Linked DNA regions of Schizosaccharomyces pombe. The gene in region 4 interacts genetically with the main gene of each other region. Each region holds a gene or a part of one and is shown on either strand. Other genes may lie near its edges.

What was found.
Region 1: of rep1 (region 4) and cdc10, extra expression of one rescues a mutant of the other (dosage rescue), as found in Schizosaccharomyces pombe (one study listed by BioGRID).
Region 2: of rep1 (region 4) and res1, extra expression of one rescues a mutant of the other (dosage rescue), as found in Schizosaccharomyces pombe (2 studies listed by BioGRID).
Region 3: of rep1 (region 4) and eso1, a mutation in one rescues a mutant of the other (synthetic rescue), as found in Schizosaccharomyces pombe (one study listed by BioGRID).

The regions. Positions count from the first base shown.
Region 1 is NC_003423.3:2,760,241-2,765,472, forward strand, and holds cdc10 (DNA-binding transcription factor, MBF transcription factor complex subunit Cdc10), read right to left. Parts: upstream 3,561-5,232; 5' UTR 3,351-3,560; coding exon 1,047-3,350; 3' UTR 926-1,046; downstream 1-925. Other genes in the region: GARP complex subunit Vps52, read left to right, coding at 1-925; mmp2 (endopeptidase catalytic subunit), read right to left, coding at 4,075-4,225, 4,293-4,442, 4,515-4,756; PAN complex subunit Ppk26, read right to left, coding at 5,080-5,127. UniProt on the Schizosaccharomyces pombe protein: Major component of the cell cycle transcription factor complex MBF (MCB binding factor, also known as DSC1), that controls G1-S phase specific gene expression. Involved in the control of rRNA production, via interaction with pol5.
Region 2 is NC_003423.3:1,230,590-1,236,125, reverse strand, and holds res1 (MBF transcription factor complex subunit Res1), read right to left. Parts: upstream 3,541-5,536; 5' UTR 2,792-3,540; coding exon 2,566-2,791; intron 2,439-2,565; coding exon 751-2,438; 3' UTR 539-750; downstream 1-538. Other genes in the region: RNA polymerase I transcription factor subunit Rrn11, read left to right, coding at 1-115, 230-475; orotate phosphoribosyltransferase Ura5, read right to left, coding at 4,400-5,047; acetylglutamate synthase Arg6, read right to left, coding at 5,333-5,536. UniProt on the Schizosaccharomyces pombe protein: Acts as a positive regulator of the mitotic cell cycle and as a negative regulator of sexual differentiation. May be involved in the transcriptional regulation of the cdc22 and cdt1 genes. Is an integral component of the DSC1-like complex.
Region 3 is NC_003423.3:4,276,313-4,281,653, forward strand, and holds eso1 (mitotic cohesin N-acetyltransferase/DNA polymerase eta Eso1 fusion protein), read right to left. Parts: upstream 3,342-5,341; 5' UTR 3,280-3,341; coding exon 661-3,279; 3' UTR 577-660; downstream 1-576. Other genes in the region: SPOM_SPBC16A3.12C (triglyceride lipase-cholesterol esterase), read left to right, coding at 38-387, 439-576; ale1 (MBOAT family O-acyltransferase), read right to left, coding at 3,684-5,213. UniProt on the Schizosaccharomyces pombe protein: Probable acetyltransferase required for the establishment of sister chromatid cohesion and couple the processes of cohesion and DNA replication to ensure that only sister chromatids become paired together.
Region 4 is NC_003423.3:2,974,882-2,979,372, forward strand, and holds rep1 (MBF transcription factor activator Rep1), read left to right. Parts: upstream 1-1,816; 5' UTR 1,817-2,284; coding exon 2,285-3,703; 3' UTR 3,704-3,957; downstream 3,958-4,491. Other genes in the region: cell wall glucan 1,3-beta-glucosidase Exg3, read left to right, coding at 1-634, 685-1,391; mmp1 (endopeptidase catalytic subunit), read right to left, coding at 4,025-4,243, 4,291-4,417, 4,461-4,491. UniProt on the Schizosaccharomyces pombe protein: Transcriptional activator that controls the onset of premeiotic DNA synthesis by regulating res2 and some other factor(s) in a mei2 independent cascade.

The DNA.
Region 1 (5,232 bases), 210 kb from region 4:
GATGAATTGGTTTTATCTATACCACTTCGAACAGTACTCTAGGTTTTTGGACAAAGTTCATGTCCTTAAGGGAGAAACTATTCGCGTTGAAGAGGATCGGAAAGGACTCTTCAACCTTTCCAAAGGAGCACAACAATCTTACGGGAATCAAATGCTCTCAGTAAACTTGCGCCCTCAGGATTTTGATATGAACTCTGTGTTGACAGCATCTACAATGCATCATATTGAATCTTCCCCACAATATATTGAACGTGTTTATTGCTCATGGGAATTAGTCTTGACGGAACACGTCTCTTCTGAATATGCTTTTTTGCTGGAGTACTTTAACCTCTCTAAAGATCAGCAGGCTACCGTTTTTGCCGCTATCTTTGAAAAAACTTTACATTTTTCACGCAAATACATTACAGGATTGATATCAAGCAGTATCGATTGCATAGGTATTTTGAAGTCCATTCGTTTTACTCAAAAATTAGCTTTACAGGCGCAAACTAATATAGTGCCTGTTATTGAGCCACACTATAACTCCATGATTCTTTTTCTGTGGCCTCGCTTTCAAGCTGTCATGGACATGCACTGTGAGTCACTCCGTAAAACTAACTTATCTGTGAAGCCAGAAGAAATCACTTCGCGACCTCATCCACTTTCGCAGCGAGTAGCTGAACTACTTTATAGCCTTTCGATGCTAAGTGTTAATGTCGTAGAAGCCGAGCCTGTTGCACGAAGTGCTTCAAGACTAGCTCAGGATTATGTGAGCATGTTACAAAACCTGTGTAAAACAGTTAATGACAAAAGGAGACAAAGTAGGTTTTTGTCCAATAATTATACCCTCATTTCGACTGTTCTTAGCGGCGTATCGGGAAATTTAGCTATAGAGCAAAAAACATATTTCGAAAAGCTTAATGAAAATTTAACTAATTTCCAATAGCCAAGATTATTAACATATAATAAATTACGTTTTATTCATTTGGTAGGATTCTATATTAAGAAAAAAATTAAAGTAGTTAATTATTTCAGGACACTTTAGTGGTAAACCACAAAAAGCAATATTATGCTTGATGTTCTTTAACAACACGTAAGAATCCAGCAACTCGACCCATATCTACTTCTCCCTGTTGACCGTCACTTTCCACGGCTTGTAACAAACTTTCCAATAATGAATCCACTCGAGATTCATCGACACCGGTGCATAGGGAAACAACCCGACGGCACTTTGATTTTATGTTGGAATTTCGTTGCCAAAGTTTGTTCGCTAATTCGTTTAATCTGGCTTCATTTCTCTCATAAGCAGCAACTTGAAACTTCAATTCAGCAATAGATAAATTTTTGTTGTTGTTTTCATTGACAGTAAAAGGAGCGTCAGCATCCAATGATAATGAATCGTGTATTCCATTGGGATCAAAAGATTCATAAAGATTACTTAATTCACTTTTCTGTTCTTCGATCGAAGTCATAAGATTTTTACAACGTTGCCTTAATTCAAGAAACAAAGTTCTTTGCGTCTCGGACACGTGTAGTTGTTCACGAAGATCGGACAGCTTTTTTGTAGATTCACGCAATTGGGTGTAGGCTGAGTCAATCATAGACTGTTTTGCAGCCATTTCATCCTGAAAATCTTTATCCAGAGAAGATATTACATCGGTCACAGAGGCGATAATGTCTCTACTCTTTTGACGAGGAGGGACAGCAGTCTTTTCTTTGCTGGACAGATTTTCACTCATAAGGGAAACTTTTGTTTGTTTTGAGTCTTCGGGTTGTTTTAATGCGTTTTCAACAAAAATTCCAAAATTTGCTACGCTTAACCCTGCACGATTAGGAATATAAGCGGAAGCTCCGGCTTGCATTAAAACTTCAACAATGTTCTTATTTCCAATTCTTGCTGCGATATTTAAAGCTGTATCCCCATTTTTATCTTGATGATTTAAATAGTTTATGAAGTCTTTCAGCATATATCCGTTGTTACCACTTGCATGTTTCTTTGCCCAATTTAATAAGGTTTCTAAGTAATATCTCGATGCTGAACCTCGGCCTTTTATACCTGCAGTAAGACAAATGTGATGAACGACGGTCCGTCCAGCTCGATCTGTACAGGGAAGAGATGCGTAAAGCAAGTCTAGTAAATCACCAAAAGAGTTCTGATTGAGATGATTGGTTACCAAAACCGATCTCATTAATGCCGTTTCTCCTGTGAGGTTGCCACGTAAAGGATTAGCTCCTTTATGTATTAAGGCTTGTAACAAAGGCATTTTGGCAACGGCTGCTGCCCAGTGCAGAGCGGCGTGTCCAAGTTCGTCAATGGGGACATCCAAATCTAATGAGTCCGACAGCTTTGCTTCTAAGGCGCTGGAATCAGCAAAGTTTACATCTAAAAAGATAGAGGTCAAAATGTCTTTTGATGTATGATAATCCTGCATAATATTCTGATCAAGTGGAGGAAGACTAGAAACCAAGGATACAAAAGAAAGTGAATGGTTCAACCTTGGCGTATCTGGAAACAATGAAGAGGCCTCATTATCATTTAACTGTGAGGAGGGATGTAAGTCTTCATCACTGACATCAATTCTATGCCGTTTTAAACGCTGTTCAAGGATAGGTGGAGAGGTGGAGAGGTAATTGTTAGAGCGTTTAACATTTTGGCTATCAATTTGAGTTAAAGGTAGTAAGAAAGAGGAAGAAGGTGAAGGTGAACTCTGCATATTGTTTATAGTGTGCACCCCATTCTTTGAAGACTTGCTAGGGTTTGAAAAATTATGATTCCTCAAAGGGGATCGCGTATTAAAAGAAGAAGTATTTAAATTTTTGGAGATTGAAGAACTTTCGATTTGTTGCTGCTTTGAAAATTTGGGGAATAAATCAAGATTAAAAGAAATTAATGGTTGTAAAATTTCATAAACCCCATATCGCTTTGCTATAGAAATTGCTCGATCATATGGAACCCATACTCCATCTATTTGAGGGTGTTTGGAGTCAACATTCTCATAGTCCCCACTCTCGATAATATCATCCAATTCTTTGGCGTTTTCAGATGACGAAGTACCAGCAAGTCGAAGTATTTGAGAGATATTAAAGTAAGAATCTGGACATCTTCGAAGAGCAACATTATCCCCACAGCTAAGCTCCATATATTTCATGCCTGAACATTCGACAGCATACAATTCTACGGGTCGGCCATCACGTAAAACTTGGGAGTTAATAAAAATCCTTGAACTAGAGTCTTTTAAAGTAGATGAATCGTTTAGTTTGTTTATATTTCTGTTTGAAAGGGGTTGTGATGGCTCATCCTCTGGGCGTTTTTGGTATGAAAAAGAATCGTTCCCCAGCTCAAACTGGCGAATAAAATTGGCTGAAGCCATTATAGTATATTAAAATAAAAAATGCCGAAAAAATATCGAATTTTTTATAAAGGGCAGCACGTTTTTCTCGAAAATAAGGGTGCTGAACTGACCATGAAAGAAGACTCGAGCTCCTCACCACTTGGTTTGTTTAAGAGATTGTGAATTCCTTTCTTTTTCAAATAAATAGAAGTAATTTTTTCGGATTTCGTGTTATACACAAATTCGCTCTGGGAAGGTTCACGCAGCTGTATACATTTGGTACGGCGTTAGACCGTATTCGAAGTAACGATATATGAGGCTTCCTAAGGAAAACAAAGGACTACTTCAATGTTCGTTTCTTCTGGGGGTTTTATTTAAAGGCTACTTAGAAATGGAATTCTTTCTCATTTCAAATACCCTGTTGAAAAATTTCCAACTTTGCTATACTCAACGACTTTACTGTTTCGGGATATGCAAAAGAGACGGATTTTTCAGTCAATTCTAATTTTCCCTAAATAAAAGTTTTGATGTTGAGTATGAAAAAATTATATTTTTTTATTGGTATTTCTAATACAAAGTAGCTTCCAACTTCCATCTTTTTCAAATAGGTAAATAGATAGACATATTAATGACGTCATATATAGAACGCGACGCGTCGAAATAAATTAAATTTAAGGATAACGTGTTCCTTAAAAGAAATGTAAATAAGCACCAACCAGCATGGAACTAAACTGTCAAGGAAACAGGTTCACTGTGGTGCAGCTTACTTAACAGAACGTTTTCCACTTAAAAACACTGCATTCTTTCGGAAACCTTCATGATCAATACGCCCTGCACGAGAGAAGGGAAACAAAATTGCAATCACTTTGGCAGTGATGAGTCCTGTCGATACTGGGCCAAATTTGTTACTATCACTGTAAACTAGTTAATATCTCTATAGAAGAAAACGAAAAAGTAAAAAAACAATTGTTGGAAACCTACATAGAATGAAATTGTTCATCGCCTTCGACCCACACATGTCCCTCGGGAACGGGTACTAATGACAACTTTTTAGGAGGTCTCGTTTTCATGATATCGTATTCTACTCCTAGAACTCTTTTTACCAATAGTTCCTCTGGGTTTTCTGGAGAGCTTGTTGCTTATTAGTAACGATAAAAAGGGAAACTCAGTACCGAAAGACCCTGCAACGATCCAAGAACTTACCGTAGTATAACTACATCTCCTCTTTTGTAATCCTTATTCCATTTCCAAAGTAGTACCCTATCTCTCTGCAGCATGTTTGTCTCAGGGTTAAAGGCTGGTTTCATAGATCTACCTTCAATTGTACCGACGCTGACTACATGTTGTTCAACGAACATTAATACGGGTACCCATAGGGTAATTCCGACTAAATTTTTAAAAAATACTGATTTAAAAGATTGATTTCGAACGAAAGGGTTTGCCATTTTTTGAGGACAACTGCTAAACTCTCTCCTCTAAGAAGTTTATGATTAACCGTCTGTATGTACCTTAACAAGCATGGGAGTTTCCGTAATTAATAATTAAACCAGGAAAACGTATTAATGAATTTTATCTGATAAGTGTCAGGCTTCTATTCCTGATCGTTTTTGTTTCAATACGGTGTGTTGCAGTAGGTAATTCAAAACCACATTAAGCTTAGCTTCCTTCTAATATTATTATAGCGAAAACTATTATTTACTTAAATTAACAACCATGGTAATAGATACAAAAAAACAAATAAATATTCTGTAAAGAAAAATGTTTTATTTTAAGAATTTATTTCCATTTCGTAAACGTTGTCCAACCAAGCTTTTAGCTACATTTGTTATTGTTAGTAATTTTGCAAACAAACAGGCTATATAGTGTGGAAAAGTAGTCTAATTTACTAAGCACCCACTATGGCTTTTTGAGCAAATACTTA
Region 2 (5,536 bases), 1.7 Mb from region 4:
TGGACTTGAAATTTTGAACAAAGTTAATCCAGAAGCTTCATCAGAGTATATGGAGCGACTAATAGCTCGATATCCTGCGCGTCCATCCATTAACAACTCTTATCCGAATCGTAATGTAAGTGTATACTGGTACAAAACGTCTATACTTTCATCTTTTCGTGTATTGAATTTTTTGTCCCTTCTTATTTGAAATCAATCATATGTCGCAATTCTATACTAACATTTACAGGCAGAACATTTTTTTCCAGCATATATCATGCTACTTATTCAGCGCCAAGAATACAATAAAGCTATGAAGTTGCTTGATGAGTATTTGCTGTTACCACCCTACAATCAGAATCCTGCATTGCATGAGTATTCCGGAATGTTGTGTTTTGAACTTGCCAAGGAGGAAGCTTCAGAATCTGAGCGAACTAAATGGATTGAAAAGGCGAAATACAACTTTTCAAACGCAGGAATTGACGTCGAATTGTAGATTTAACATTCCCATGGCATTTCAAAAAGCACATTAGTATATTTAATATTTTAGATTGACCATCAGAAAAATTATGTATATTAGCAAATAATAAGATGGGAAGATACATTTAAATTTAAATTTAAAACTAATCATTAGATAGCCAACGACTGTATAAAAAGATTGTTAAATATCTATAAGTTCAAGTTGGTATTTATATAAAAAACATAAAGAATGCAAAAAATAAGATAACGAAAGAAAAAATTATTTTGAATAATAATTTAAAACCAAAAAAATTAAGATCCACTTTGATCTGTATTAATCGTATTATACATTCCCATAGAAAGCAAGTTCAAAATTTCGTTAATTTTCTGTTTCCGTTGCGCTTGCAATGAGCATAATTGCTCAACGAGCTTTTCACGAGCAGCTTCGTTTTCAGCTGTAAAAAGATCAACTTCGTGTTTTGAGCTTAAAGACGAACGGTTCGTTTTAGTATCATGACCAACAAGGTTTTTGGTCTCCGAGATATCAGCTAACTCATCAGTACTCCATATTTGAGAAAAGTAAGTTACGTATTTTTTTAATTGATGAAGCTGAACTGTTTCAAGGTAATATCTAGCAGTTTTCAATGTATGCAGAAATTTTTTACACTGGTGAATCAAATCCTCCCGCTGATTTACCAAGTAGTTCTCGTCATTATTGGTACGTTCATTCCATAATCTTTGGCAAGTTTCAGTTTCCCGAACTGTTTGCTCCAACGCCTCCATTGCCAAATTATAGGTTAGTTGTTTTTCAGCAAGAGATGCTTCATGGCATTTTGAAAGTTCGCTCAGCTGAGTGAAGACATTGGGAAGGGTTTGGTGAGTAAGTTTATTAGAAAAGTAAGAAATAGGTTTTTTGGACGATAAGTGGTCATCAAGTGATTGCGGATATTTTAAGTTATCTATCAAATTATCCTCGATTTTGGAATTTAAGGGGGAATCATCATTTTCGGGAAAAGACATGTCTTTCGAAGACAAAAAATCTGTTGGGTATTGGCCCTGATTATTTGGTATGGAGGATGATGCATAAAAGGATAATAATAATCTCGCGCATTTCTTTGCACCATTTCTAGCGCAGATCAAAAGAGCGGTATCCCCATGATCATCCTGAAGGTTTATAATTTGGGCAGCGACATCAACGGATTGTGTTGCAGTTAAATTTTGCAATAAGATATCCATATAATAACGAGCGGCTTCCATCTTTGATTTAGAAGAAGCTAATAATGCGATGTGGTGAAAGACGGTTTGGCCAAAAGAGTCGTTCATGCAGATAGCAGATTGAAGCAACTCCGAAACTACCTCAAAAGTCTGTAAATCATAGTTCATGGTAAACATTACACAGCGCATCAAAGATGTTTGTTGAAGGTAATTGACAGCAACTACGTTGGCGCCTGCTTGCAATAGTGCATGCATCATTTCCAAATTTCCCATTGCAGCAGCCCAATGAAGTGCTGTATGACCATCCTCATCAATGCCAGCATTAACATCCCAATCTGATGGCCGATCATATACGAAATCAGGAGGTTGTGTAGTATTTGGTAATAAAAAGTAATCCAAGAGAGACTGCGCATAATTGTTTGAAGAAAACGGAGAAGCTTTGATATCGTGCAAAGATCCCGTAAAGGAATCAGAAGGCATATCGGGAGAGCGCGTGAAATCAGATTGAAGAGACAAAGCATCATGGATTCCTGACATTCTAGAAGTAGATGTCATATTATTGGAAGATGTGTAAGGGTAGAGTAAAGAATGCGAAGGCCGGGAAAATGACTTTTTTACTGGACTGTTTCGTCGATATGCTTCTGTAGGCTTACGATTGCTCTGAGGAGTGAACGTAGACATTGGCATGAACGCAGAGCCAGAGTATTCAATCAGAGGTTGTATTAAATCAAAAACATTATATTCATGAGCAAGTTCAACAGCTCTTTCAGAGGGTACCCAAGTTCCTGAATGAATAGTTAGTAACAGGCATCCAAAAAAGTATAAATTGATAAATAAAAACAACAGAGACAAAAATTTTATGTTATTTAAGTAGTTTTAAACCTATTGATATAGTAAGAAGTTAACACAAACCTTGATATTTTCCACAACCACCTTGAATTTTTTCATGAAGTCCCTTTTGAGCGAATTTCTCCAGAATCCTTGTCCTCCTGGGTTTATCGAGCTCTGCAATTTTAAGGATTTGCGTGGCATTAAGCCAGTTATCATGACAACGTTTCATTAAAGGAAAGCCATTGATCGTATACTCAAATACTTCCACTCCTGAATAGGTGATTTTATGTATTTGGTCGTTATACATAACGGCACTATTGGCAAGCAATTTAAAAAAAAGGAAGGAAGGAAGAGCTTCAAAACTTGATGCAATAACAACGTTTCGTCTCTCTAAATGTTTGTAATAATTTAATGTCTCAACTCCACAGCGCCAGCTATTAATATCATATAAAAAAAAAAACGAAGCAAATGAGAAAGAAGAAGCAAATTGAAATTTCCTCTACAAAATATCGATAGTTTTTGAAAACCGAGTATTTATAGCAGATAAAGTCGGAAATACATATGATACTAACTGCATGCACTAAAGAAAGGATATATTCTCTCAGCGGCGTTTGCCTCAAAGATTTTTTCAATTAAAAAGTATTTAACTCTATGTTTTGAGTTAAAAACAGATGTTTTTAAAGACCTCTGCTATCCCTAAAAATCCACGTATCTTACCAGCTGATGTAAGATACTCAACTACCAAGAACTTTAATATGTAAGGACAGAAACCTTTCGAAACTTTCCAGATCACGATTTGTATAATTTAAATCAAAAAGCTGTAGATTTGGGTTTATCGACTACGGAGCCGATTTAGTCCGGATTTTTTCAACAGCGAGATCTCAGAAAAATCGAAAAACACTGCTTCTTACTCACCAAAAAAATCCCTAAAATCACAGTAAAGTGCTTCAGGAAATGCGGATCCTTTTTTTGATAAAAAGGAAATTTGCTTGCTTTTTTAAGATCTCACACAAACAGAACTAAATCTTTCACCCTCTCTTATGGTGAGTTAGTGGTAAACGATAAATACTTGAAGGTTACATATTAGTAACTCAATTATTGTACCATTCGATTCCACTATGTTAAACCAATTGTATTACATAAATGATAAAGAATTTCATTGTTCAACTCGAGTTTTTCTAATAAACCATTTTTATTTATAGACTGCAGTGACTACTTATTCAAATTCACATTGAATATGAGAATAAAAACATTCCAAAATTTCTTAACATTTTCTTGTCATAATAAAAAGTTAATCACCAGGCTTCTGTTTAAAGGTTTTACCATTATTTAATATTTGGTATTTCAAACACAGAGCATAAATACCCGTCGCAGAATTGAAAAATAAAATCCTAAATTTTTTATAATTGCCCATTATATGCGTCTTTCGAACGTAAATAATCATCACTAAAAACCAAATCCTACAAATTTTTACAAAAATAATACACAAATACCATTTTGTGAAACATTAATTATCCCTCAACTCAATATTTTGGTAGCTTCATTCCTAACTGTCATCTTGGAAAGATTCGAATAACACAAAAGAAGAAACAAACACAAAAAAAACAGATTCACGGAACTAATCAAAAGATAGATGGATATGTGCAAAACAAAAGCTTAACAAGTAAACCAATTTCCTTCGTCTATTATAGAGAAATTTTTGAATACCGCTAAATGCAATCGCTTTATAGAAAATTCCTTCTAATATGAGTTGTATCTATCACCACAAATATACAGATAAAAAAATTCTATAACATATGTAAATACCAACTAACTTCACTCTCTTTAAAAAAGCAAAGCTAAAAACCAAAAAAGATACTTATCCAATTATTCTCTTTCCTCCTTCCAAATTTTTAAAAGAAACATTACCATAAGCTCATTTGGCTTGGTACTGCTGTCTGTAAGCATCCATTGCCTTTGATTCAGCTGCAGTTAAGTCTGATTTGGTAAAGTCAACAATGTCGTCCAAAGTAAGGATGGAGGAAACGGGTAAGTTAAGCTCCTTCTTCAATCTACCAATGGTACTTTCGTTTACTTCGGGGTCCAGTCGCTCTTGGCGGTCAAGCAAAAGGACGATACCAGCCAATTTTACGTGCTTAGGTTCTAAGAAGGAAATTGCTTCACGAATGGCAGTTCCAGCGGTAATAACATCATCCAAAAGTAAAACCTTTTTACCTTCCATTTCGGCGCCTACAAGGTTACCTCCTTCACCATGGGACTTGGCCTCTTTGCGGTTATAGGCAAATCCATAGCTCTTTCCAGTTTTTTCATAAAGTTTGACGGCCGTTATAGCAGCCAAAGAGATACCCTTATAAGCAGGACCAAATATGACATCAAAATCAACGTTCATAGCGATAATAGTCTCGGCATAGGCTTCTGCAAGAGCGCATAAATCGGCACCATGAGTGAAATTACCAGAATTGAAGAAGTATGGAGATTTTCTGCCTGATTTTAAGGTGAAAGTTCCAAACTTCAAAACATTATGTTCTAAGGCACGACGCAACAACTCAAGTTTATAAGACATGTTTACTACTAGTTTTGTTGATAAACGTTGATACTCACAAAAGAAAAAAGCTAGTATCACCTTTTCTAAGCTCTACATGGGGGTTATGTGGGGGAATAAACAAAAATCATAACTAAAGAAAAATGCAAGTTTGTAGGCAAACTACTCAATCTATAATCTAATGTGCAAAAGAGAATTAATGTCCTATCAAAATGGACTTTTTTCCTTTTATTAAAAAGTTTGACAAGTGCTTTTGAAGAAGCGAAATAATCTTGTCTCTGATAAAGTGCAATCGTTAACTTCCACTCAATTCAACCATGTTGGCTGAATTTTATCAATAACGCTCATATACTGGTTCACTCGATCCAAATTTCTGACATGTGAGTCTCCAGTCCAGAAAAGTTTCCAAGGTGTTTTGCTTGACTTTAAGGAGCCTACACTTCTTTCAAAGTACCATTTATTGACTGGATTAGTCAGGCGAGAGCGCCATATCAACTCTTTGGGAAATAA
Region 3 (5,341 bases), 1.3 Mb from region 4:
TTTTTTTAAATTTCAACTTCATCTGCTTACTCTACAGATCCCCCAATTTTTGTAAAAATTGTCGATGTATCCCTTAAAATTTTATTCAACTGGGACCTATCCAACATTTCTCTTAATCAAAAACTTTGCGGTTATGCACATCTTTACTCTTTTTCAAGTGTAAAGAGTGTTGTTCACTGGCTTCAGATTATAAAAAACTGTACTTTCCAGCTTTATGACGACGATATGGCTCTTCTAGCTGGATATGGTTCACGCCATTACCAAGTTCCTCTGTTTCCTACGAATAATATCAAATGCCCAATGCTGATACTATGGGGAGGTAAAGATACTTTGATCAATATGGAAGTAATGAGAACTGCTCTTCCTCCCCATGCAAAGGAAGTTTCGGTAAGCCTTTTATTTTATAGGTTTGTTGCTCAATATGCTAATATAAGTTAGATTGCTCATTATGAACATCTTGACTTTCTATGGGGCCAGGATGTTAAAGAGGAAGTGTTCCCAGTTGTAATAGATGCCCTTAAGCATCATTCATTAGGCAAAGCCAAACATTTCGTTAAACAAAACGGTTTTCATTAATGATTAATTAATAATTTAAAAAAAAAACTTCTATATAACGCTTAGATAGATATTTAGAACAACTTTAATTTTGTCAGACTATTTTCAACTTTCATAAACAGCATATCGAAGTGACTTCGAAGAACCATTGTTTCGAGAACGATGCCACGAAATAATGAACTGTTTACCACTTTCACTAGGCTGACTAAAAGCAACTTCTGCAGGCGATATAACGTAACCGTAAATGAATTTTTTTAAAGCATTGTCTAATAGTAAACTTGCTATCCCTTGTTTGCGTCTTGAAGCTGATACCCAAATCCTGGAAATACCCAATACAAACCCCTTTCGTAGATTTTCGTTTTTTATATATACTGCGGAAGAGGTGCTATTGTTGTTGTTGAGTTCAAGTTCATCGACTATGTATGCAGAAGATATACGCTCTGCCAGAAGTAATCCGACACATTTCTTATCTGATATGAATAGAAATGTGGTATATTTATCTACCCCAATTGTTTCAATAGGCTCACTTGAAAGTTCGTTATTTACGAAAGATAAAGCTTCCTCTGCTTTTCTTTGATCAATTAATGAGCTTTCTGAATTTATGCTGTATATGCAATCGGAACTCAAACCATAGTTAACGCGATAAATAGGAGAGCATTGAAAGGACACAGTAACACCTCCTAGAACCCGAGAATGAAACCTAGAATGAAGCAAAATATCTTCTTCGCTCGTTGAATTGTACTCCATAGAACATTCTGAACAAGTTACGGTGGAATTAGCCAAATCTAAGTGTAACTGGGTCATGTTGTCTGAGCTGTTGGAAATTGCTTTTGGCGTTTGCTTTTTCCAATTTGGTGTCAGATTTCCACCGTTTCCTAAAAATGCGTCCAAAAATGCTCTTTTGTTGTTTGTTTCATCGGATAAAGGTGCATAATGCTTGCTACCGGTTTTCCTTCCATATGTTTTAGGCTTTACTTGCTTAGGTTTATCATGGGATGGCGGTACTAAGTTATTATAGCGTTCTTTTCTCGAAATGGAGAGAGCTATATGATAATCTTCATGTTCATTTCTTTCGGATAAAGTAATTTTCTGTTCGCATTCTTCACACGTGTAAGTTTCATCAGCTGAATTCTCCGTTGGTTTAGAAACAGCGGTCTGTTGTAGCATATCAAAAATCCCTTTACCTTTACCTCTTTTCAACCTTTTAGGTGACTTTATATCTTTTTCCGAAGATAATTCAAAAGAATTATTTTCCCTCATATTTTCGTTCAATAATTTAGCGCGTCCCTCAATAGAAGGTGAAACAGAAGTAGACATGTAGATTTCATCATTGGACTTTTTTAAAAAACCCTCAATTCCCCTAGAATTACGATCAACCTCTATGATGTTTTGAAAGCTAATAGATAAGTTTGAAATCGGATATACATCGAATTCCTGTTGCAGTTGACGCAACAGTTTGGATGTTGCTTCAACAATAAACTGAGTGCTAATATCAACATTCATAGGTATTTGACTTGACCTTGACTTTCTCAGAAATCTTGATACAACAGTCAAACAAATGGTCTTGGGCCTTCTCATTCCTTCAAGTTCAAGGAATCGTGATCGAAGATCAGATGCGAATACTTGAAACCAGTTAATTGCATCTTCTTCAGACTTCACTTTTTGCTGAGAAAAATTTTTAGCCGACAACATTGATTTAATCTGAACTTGTGTAGTAATCTCAGTGTTATCAATTCCATGGCACAAATTCCAAACGAGTGGACCGTTAGTTTGACCAAGCTTATCTATCAAAAAGTCCATACTCATATTCCAAACATCCTTAATAGAATCTGTTCCTAATAAATTAATTATTTCTTCTCCAAATTTTCCGCCCAGCATTCTTATATCAGTAATCTTTAATGACACTAAATAATCTTGAATTGCATTTTTCGTTAAAATAGTTTGCTTGTTTGGTTTATTACGCGAGCTGACAAGCTTTGAAAGCATTGGGTTAAAAGAAACTCCTGCTGAGCACGTGTATTTGAGTTGCAAGTATATATCATCGCGAATTTCTTTCACGATTTTTGCAGCGTAAAATAAAAAAACATCATCCCAATCCCTTTCATAATCTTCTTTCGTTCTATCTACAACTTCTTCTTCAATGACCATTCCAAACTCAGCAGGCCATAGTAGCACTGGAGCCTGCGGCAAAGCAACATTTGAGTCCTCAGAGGGAATTTTCAAGTAAGGATATTCCTCCAACACAATCCGTTTAACATCACTCGTAAGTTCAATAAAACATTCGTCAATACTAGCCTTCTTAACCACAGGCGCATGTTTCTTTATGATGTTAAGAATCTTAACGCTTTCGTGCCGATAAGGATCTAAACAGGTTTTATAGTAGTTAGGATTTGGGTTTTCATGGTACTTAGCCTCTGACTCCCCAGCTTTCCAAGTTTTTACATGAGCGGTACAAAGCTCTGGACATTTCTTTTTTGCTTCAGTAACTGTTTCATGGCGTGAAATATTCGCTGCACGGGCTGCGTAGTTTACAGCAATAAGCCCTTGCCATTGTTGAACAGCAAGGGGAACTGAATGGTCTAATCCTAGGCGAACACTTTCGACTTGAGCGTAAAAAGCATCCTGATCAATATGAGCTACAACCCTTAACGGTGAATTTTGTGTACCTGCTTTATCACAATATTGCAAGTCCTTCCAAGAGAATTTGCTTTTGCCTAATTCCATTCAGTTCATACCCTCAAAAAAGTTCTTTAATAAGAATCGCTCAAGTTCTATAGCGCGTTCGTGTTGAATTTAGTGGACTAAGGTACTAGATATAGCAACGTTACCTACTACCAGATACTAAAGCAAAATAAATTCAAACTCTCATAATGTTGTAACCAAAATAAATCATCAAAGGAAATTAGATGTTAAACTTAAAAACTGAATTGAGAGAAAACATTCAGGAATTTTATTTAAGAGACTACTTTAATATGTAAACATATATATAAACACAATGAATATACTGCCGCCATGAAAGGTATTGTATATGATGAACAATTAAGATGAAATTGCTGTTAACAAAGCTGCAAAATATTCAAATGCTTCAATTTATTGCATATGATGCTACCTCATAGCAAATTAATCCTTCATTCATCATTTTCAAAATCTTCTCTTTTGGGCACCGACATATTTAACATGTCCGTATCACTAGTGGATTTCATAGATTGTTCGTAACTTTTTAGTTTATAGCTGTTGACTCTGGATCGTATCTTATTATCTAATTTCGACCTTATTGGGGAATTGAACACAGCCAGAGCTATCAATATATATATATGCACAATAAAATATAGCTCTTTCCAAACGTGTATTGATTCTTTTAGATTCAAAAGAAGGAAAGAGATAATTAGATAGGAGAGAGAGAGGTTTGTTGCTACCATACCAATAACATCATAGACTCGCTTAAAAGGCCCAGGAGTTTCCATATCTGGTTTAAGGAAAAATGGGCGAACATGGCGACGCGTGTATTTTGCAACTGTTTGGATAAAGGCTGCGGAAACAAAAGTCAAATAATATCCAGCAGAAACTCCATGCCACATTGCACTAACAGTGAATGTGCTTAGCGTACTTTTGAACCCTGGACGCTTTCCCTTCTTTGCAACTCTCAAATAAACGTAATTTCGAAGCCATTTATTGGTATTCATGTTCCAAGCCTCAAGAGCACATTTGATATTATCTGCGAATTCGAACTTAATAGGGTCAATATTCTTCACTCGATCCCAACGAGGATGCTTAGAAGAATCCAGGCCATTATAACCAATGCCTGACAATATACATGCACCGTCAGAAAGTTCCCATGCGCCATAATATTTCATTCTTGCAACAAAAGCAGTTATGCAAACGTATCCATATTTTAGCAAAATAGGGGAGGAAGCAAACTTAGGTGTAAGTAGAAACTTTAAAGGATAGATTGAGCTTCCGGTAATAAATAAAATCAGCCACAACAGACCTCGCCAGCAACGACCTAAGGCTGGTTCCAAACTGTGTGGTGTTATCTGTTTTTCATAAGGATCAGCCAAAGGCTTAAACATAGAAAGGGTTATAAACCTTTCGTAATCAACATAATCAAAAGCTGGACCAACAAGTAATGAGGGAAAGAAAAATACGTATCCAAGGAAATACAAGATATTAGGAATCTTTCTCAACGCGCGGTCTTTTTGATAAGAAGATAATTCACTTGAAGGAAGACGACCGTCGTAAACAGACCAGGCAAACGCTGTAAGCTTCATACATAGTACCATTTGTGAAGCAGTAATATCAGTATTTTCTGAAGGGTAAATGTACCGAATAACATGGCTGCTAAATGTATGGCCAAGGATTACTATAAATATGATCCATGGCATTCGTGACGATCGATAAAACGCGGCCACGAAATATGTGAACAAAGCGTCAAATAGCAAAACTAAAACGCCATCGTAAAGATGATGAACACCAATGAGATAAAATAAACCTATGCTTATTGAAAATAAGTTTCTAATCCATGGAGCCGAAGGAAGTCTTTTTAGTATGCCGGCAAACGGGTATGCTGAAAGAAAACAAAACAGTAACTTGAGCTGATCCGGGTGGACTCCAAGGAAAGAAGAGAAGTATTCAAATGGTATATCAATAAGATAAGCCATTGTTAATGTAGACAATACTGTCTCCTGCTTTGGGAATGCCTTTGAATTGAACAACTGATATTAAACACTCAACAATCGATTATTCTTTAATCACGAATGTACAGTGAAGATTGTACCCAGAGTTTGGT
Region 4 (4,491 bases):
CTTGGTGCTTGGTTTTGCGCCGAAAGATGGATTAATGATTTCTTGTTTACTGGTGAAGGTAGCAGTGAACTTGAAGCAGTAAGTGGTAATGTTAAGGCTCATGGAATAGACAAAGCTAGAGAGAATTTTGAGGCGCATTGGAAAAGTTGGATTGGTATTGAAGATTTTTCTTATATGAAACAGCACTTAGTTAATAGTGTACGAATACCTCTTGGATATTGGTCATTAGGAAATGATGAATTGGTTAAAGGAACGCCATTTGAGCCTTATGCTGAAGTATATCGTAATAGCCTACACATCTTGTGTGAGAAAATTCAAGAAGCAGGAAGCCTTTCGATCGGTGTGCTTTTAGACTTCCATGGGGTGTATGGAGGAGGAAATTGTGACGGACATTCCGGTACATCGTCTGGAAAGGCAGAATTTTATGAAAAGCAAGAATATCAAGACAGAACAGTGGAAGCCGTTAAATTTTTATCGTCGAAGATTGGTCAGTTTGAAAATGTTATTGGTATTCAAGTAATTAATGAACCGATCTGGGGCCAATATGATGTTCTTGCTAATTTCTATCAAAAAGCTCGCTCTGTTGTTCCTTCCTATCTTCCTGTCTATATTGGTGATGGATGGGATAAAGATCGTATGTCAATTCCATATAGTCATATCATTTTCAATGCTAACAGGATACAGATTGGGTGAATTGGGTGAATGATCATGAATCTGAAGGATTCTATGTGGTTGATCATCATAGCTATTTCTGTTTTGGCGGCGAATTATGCCATGCACCCCCAAAGCTTATAACCAGAAGACTTGATACTGGTGAAGAATACGGTAAAACCAAACTTTCCAATATAGTTATTGGCGAATGGAGTTGTACTTTAAGCCAAGAATCATGGAGCCAAACAAAGCTCCACGATAAAAGAAGACGTGACTTTGGTGAAGCTCAACTGAACCAGTATTTGAATTATTGCGGAGGATGCTTCTTTTGGACTTATAAATTCCTTCACGGAAAAGGTGGAGATTGGGATTTTAGATCTGTTGTAGAGGACAAGGTAATCAATTACCCTCCTCCTCCCCCTACCGAAAACAAAGCCATGCCGGCCTTACTTGAACAAAGTCGGGATCAAAACTTTGGTGGACATTGCTATTATTGGGATCAGAAACAACATGATCATCCATATGAACATGATTTATATGTTAAAGGATGGAATCAAGCCTGGGAGGACTACATTGAGTTTCTTCAGCATGGGGCCATGATCGGATTTCCTCGTGCATGGACTCAAAAAAGGATGACAAGTATTTCTTCTGCTTCTGCTTGGGAATATCGTGACGGTATGAATGCGGCCTGGTTGCATCTCGAGCGTATGGGCTTTCTCAATCCTTTTCGTCACCCATAATTCCATAATGTCTGTCTTAATGACCTTTATACTCTATGTTTATGCTTTTGTTTATCCGCACAAAAATTTAATGTGTTTGGTAACCCTCCTGCTAATCTCTATTCCCTTACCCACTTTTTGTCGTTAAATTTTGCTTGTTGTATTCACATCCTTGTTACATATGTTTAATTTTGGTAGATTAAAAATTCTGTTGATTTTCTTTTATAAAATTCTCTAAAAGATAATTAAAGGATTAATATTAACGACTTACTATTGAATTTTTTAATAGAGAAATGAAATAATAGAACGTTTAAATAAAGAATCCAAGCATTTTTCTTTGTTTACATCCTTTGTTTACAATACGCAATCTTAGCATAGTAAAACAAAGAAAGGATACGTAGTAGTGCGTACGTATTTTACCCACACTCGCTTTTTACCGCACTCTTGAACTATATATACATGTACTACCTCGAGCTGGAAGTAGTACAGTAAAATTCGTATATTGCTATTAATCCTTTTTTATCTTATTTAAACATCAAGGAGTAGTATTTATTGACGTTATCAAAGCAAAACTTTACTTTGACACTGTATTAATACACCAGGCATCTCTCTATTACATAGTGTCGGCTACAATTGACTTAAAAGAATTGTTTTAAATCTAATTGCTAAAGCTGAAACTGTTTAAAATTTAGAATATTTAAACTTATACATTATATTAAACTTTTATGCAATTTAGCTTGACGGCAATACGATAATATCTTTTTAATTCCTAGGTCTCATATATTATTCTTGCTGTTGAGCTTAAAACCATAAAACAGCCTTACGTTTGTTTCTGAACGACAAACTATTACCATATATTGAATTGACTTTCCTGAATTTATACCCTTATTTTCTTTATTAAAGCTTTGAACGTCATGGATTCTGATCGTTGTTTAACAGACGAAATTTCATTAAATACGCTTTCATCTACTTTTGCTAGTGATAATAACTTAAGAAGGAAAGAGAATTTTTTGAAAAGTAGATACCCTTCAAAATTTGATTTAAATGTTTCAATGTTAACGAAGAGTGATGACGTTGGAAAGACCCCGTTTTCAATTTTCGATTCACCAAGCAATCCTGGCTTTTCTCGGTCGCACCAAATGTGTTCTGACAAAAACAAGAGTCCCTTCCTCTTTGATAAGATTAGGGATGAACCCGTTTCTGTCGATCCCGTTAAACTTATCATTAATAATCGGAACAAACGGAAAATTAATAGACAGAAATCAAGGCTTCAAGGCCTTTATCGGTCCGATGCTAATGGTTTGCAACCATTGAATTCTGAAAATGTCAAAATGAAAAAATCAACTGCCTTGTCGTTGACAAGTTCACCCTTAAACTCTTGGAAAACTGATTTCAAAACACCGCCGAAAGCTAATGTTGTTTGTATCTCTTTAGTTATTGAAGGAGACGGCTGCGCATCATTGCTGTACGAAGATTTGAATCAGATTTCCAATAGTTGCCCTGAAGTAGCACCGAACCGTCAGAACGCTCTCTTTTCAGACGAAACGCTGACAACTATGTTCTATAGTGGTGTCACGGAGGATGAGGGCTCATGTAACAATTTACTACAATCTAGCTTCGGTGATGATCTGGACTTGGGAATGCAACGGTCTGCAACTTGGGCACCGGGCTATAATTATCCAAGCAAATTTGATAGCATACCTTTTGCTTCAGCATCTCCAAAAATAAAAGCAGCTTTCCCTTTCGATCCCAACGTTTATGCATTGAATACTAACGATGGTCCAGTCACGAGTACTGATAATAATTGTGATCAATTAAACACTAGGATGCAGGCATGGAATAATGGCTTTAATTACTCAAACCTAAATGGTGATATCCAATATCCTGCTGTTACACCAAAATTTTTTCAACAAGAAGGCCGGGCCCTTAATGTTTCCGACTGTAATTTTGGAAATGAAGAAATTGCTTACGGTGGAATTCCTATGCGTGTTTGTCATAGTGATAGCACATTATGTGATGCCAGAATTGCAGCTAAGCAAGCTTTAAAAGGTAAAAGGCAATATGACACATCAACATCAAAAGCAGAGCTCTCTACTCCCCCATCAAAACGAAGGCATATTGATGATGCCGATTTAGTTTTTCACAGTAGTCCCTTACTGTCACGCTCGCGATTCATTTGTTGCTACTGCACGAAGCCTTTCCTTTCAATTAGTAAACTTCAGGAACATGAGTCCTCGTGTTCACATGTTGAGCGACTCTTTGGGTTTGCCCCAAATCGTCTTTATGATGATGGTGATGGATTTTTGGGTTCGAGTTTTTGCAGTGATTGGTAAGATTATAGCATGTTTCGCTGCATCTATTTGATTGTCCAGCAGCTGAGATTGCTACGATTTATTCTTTATTTAAAACACATTTATTTCATGCTTTATTACTTATCATTAATCTTGTACTTTAATTTAATTTTTCATAGTTATTAATCTTTAATTAGTGTTTATGAGGCGATCTTTGAAGTCTCTCTTTTGTTTTTAGAATTAGCATTTTTTTCAAACAAGTAATTGCCAACTAACATAAAAATATTAATAAATTCATACATTTCAATTAACATCTGGTGAGCCAAGAGTGAGTTGTAGAATAATATTTAATGCTCATAATACCTATTCCACATCTATGTCATTCAAAATGTTAGACATCCAGTGGGGATGTGGCCATACACGAGCTATAACTTTAGCCTTAATAAGGCCCATTGGAACAGGTCCGTAATTTCGACTATCAAGTGAGTGAGCAATGTTATCTCCTGCAAGCCAAACATGACCTAAAGGTATAGTTATTTTTTTATTTGAAGAGGTGGGATCGACATAAATTGTATCTCCTGGCTATAAAATTAGTACAAAAAGGATAACGTTCCATGTGAAATACTCACCATTCCAATGATTCGTTTGCACACGTGTTGCTTTGAATCGGAAGGTTTTGCCGAAACAACAACATCTCCTACAGAACATGAACGAGCAAACCTACCATGCAATTTATCTAACAAAACGAATTCACCACTTTTTAAGTTAGAACCATAAATACAAAGCGTTATTTCAATACCCAGAATTTAATGTTGGCATCATACTTGGAC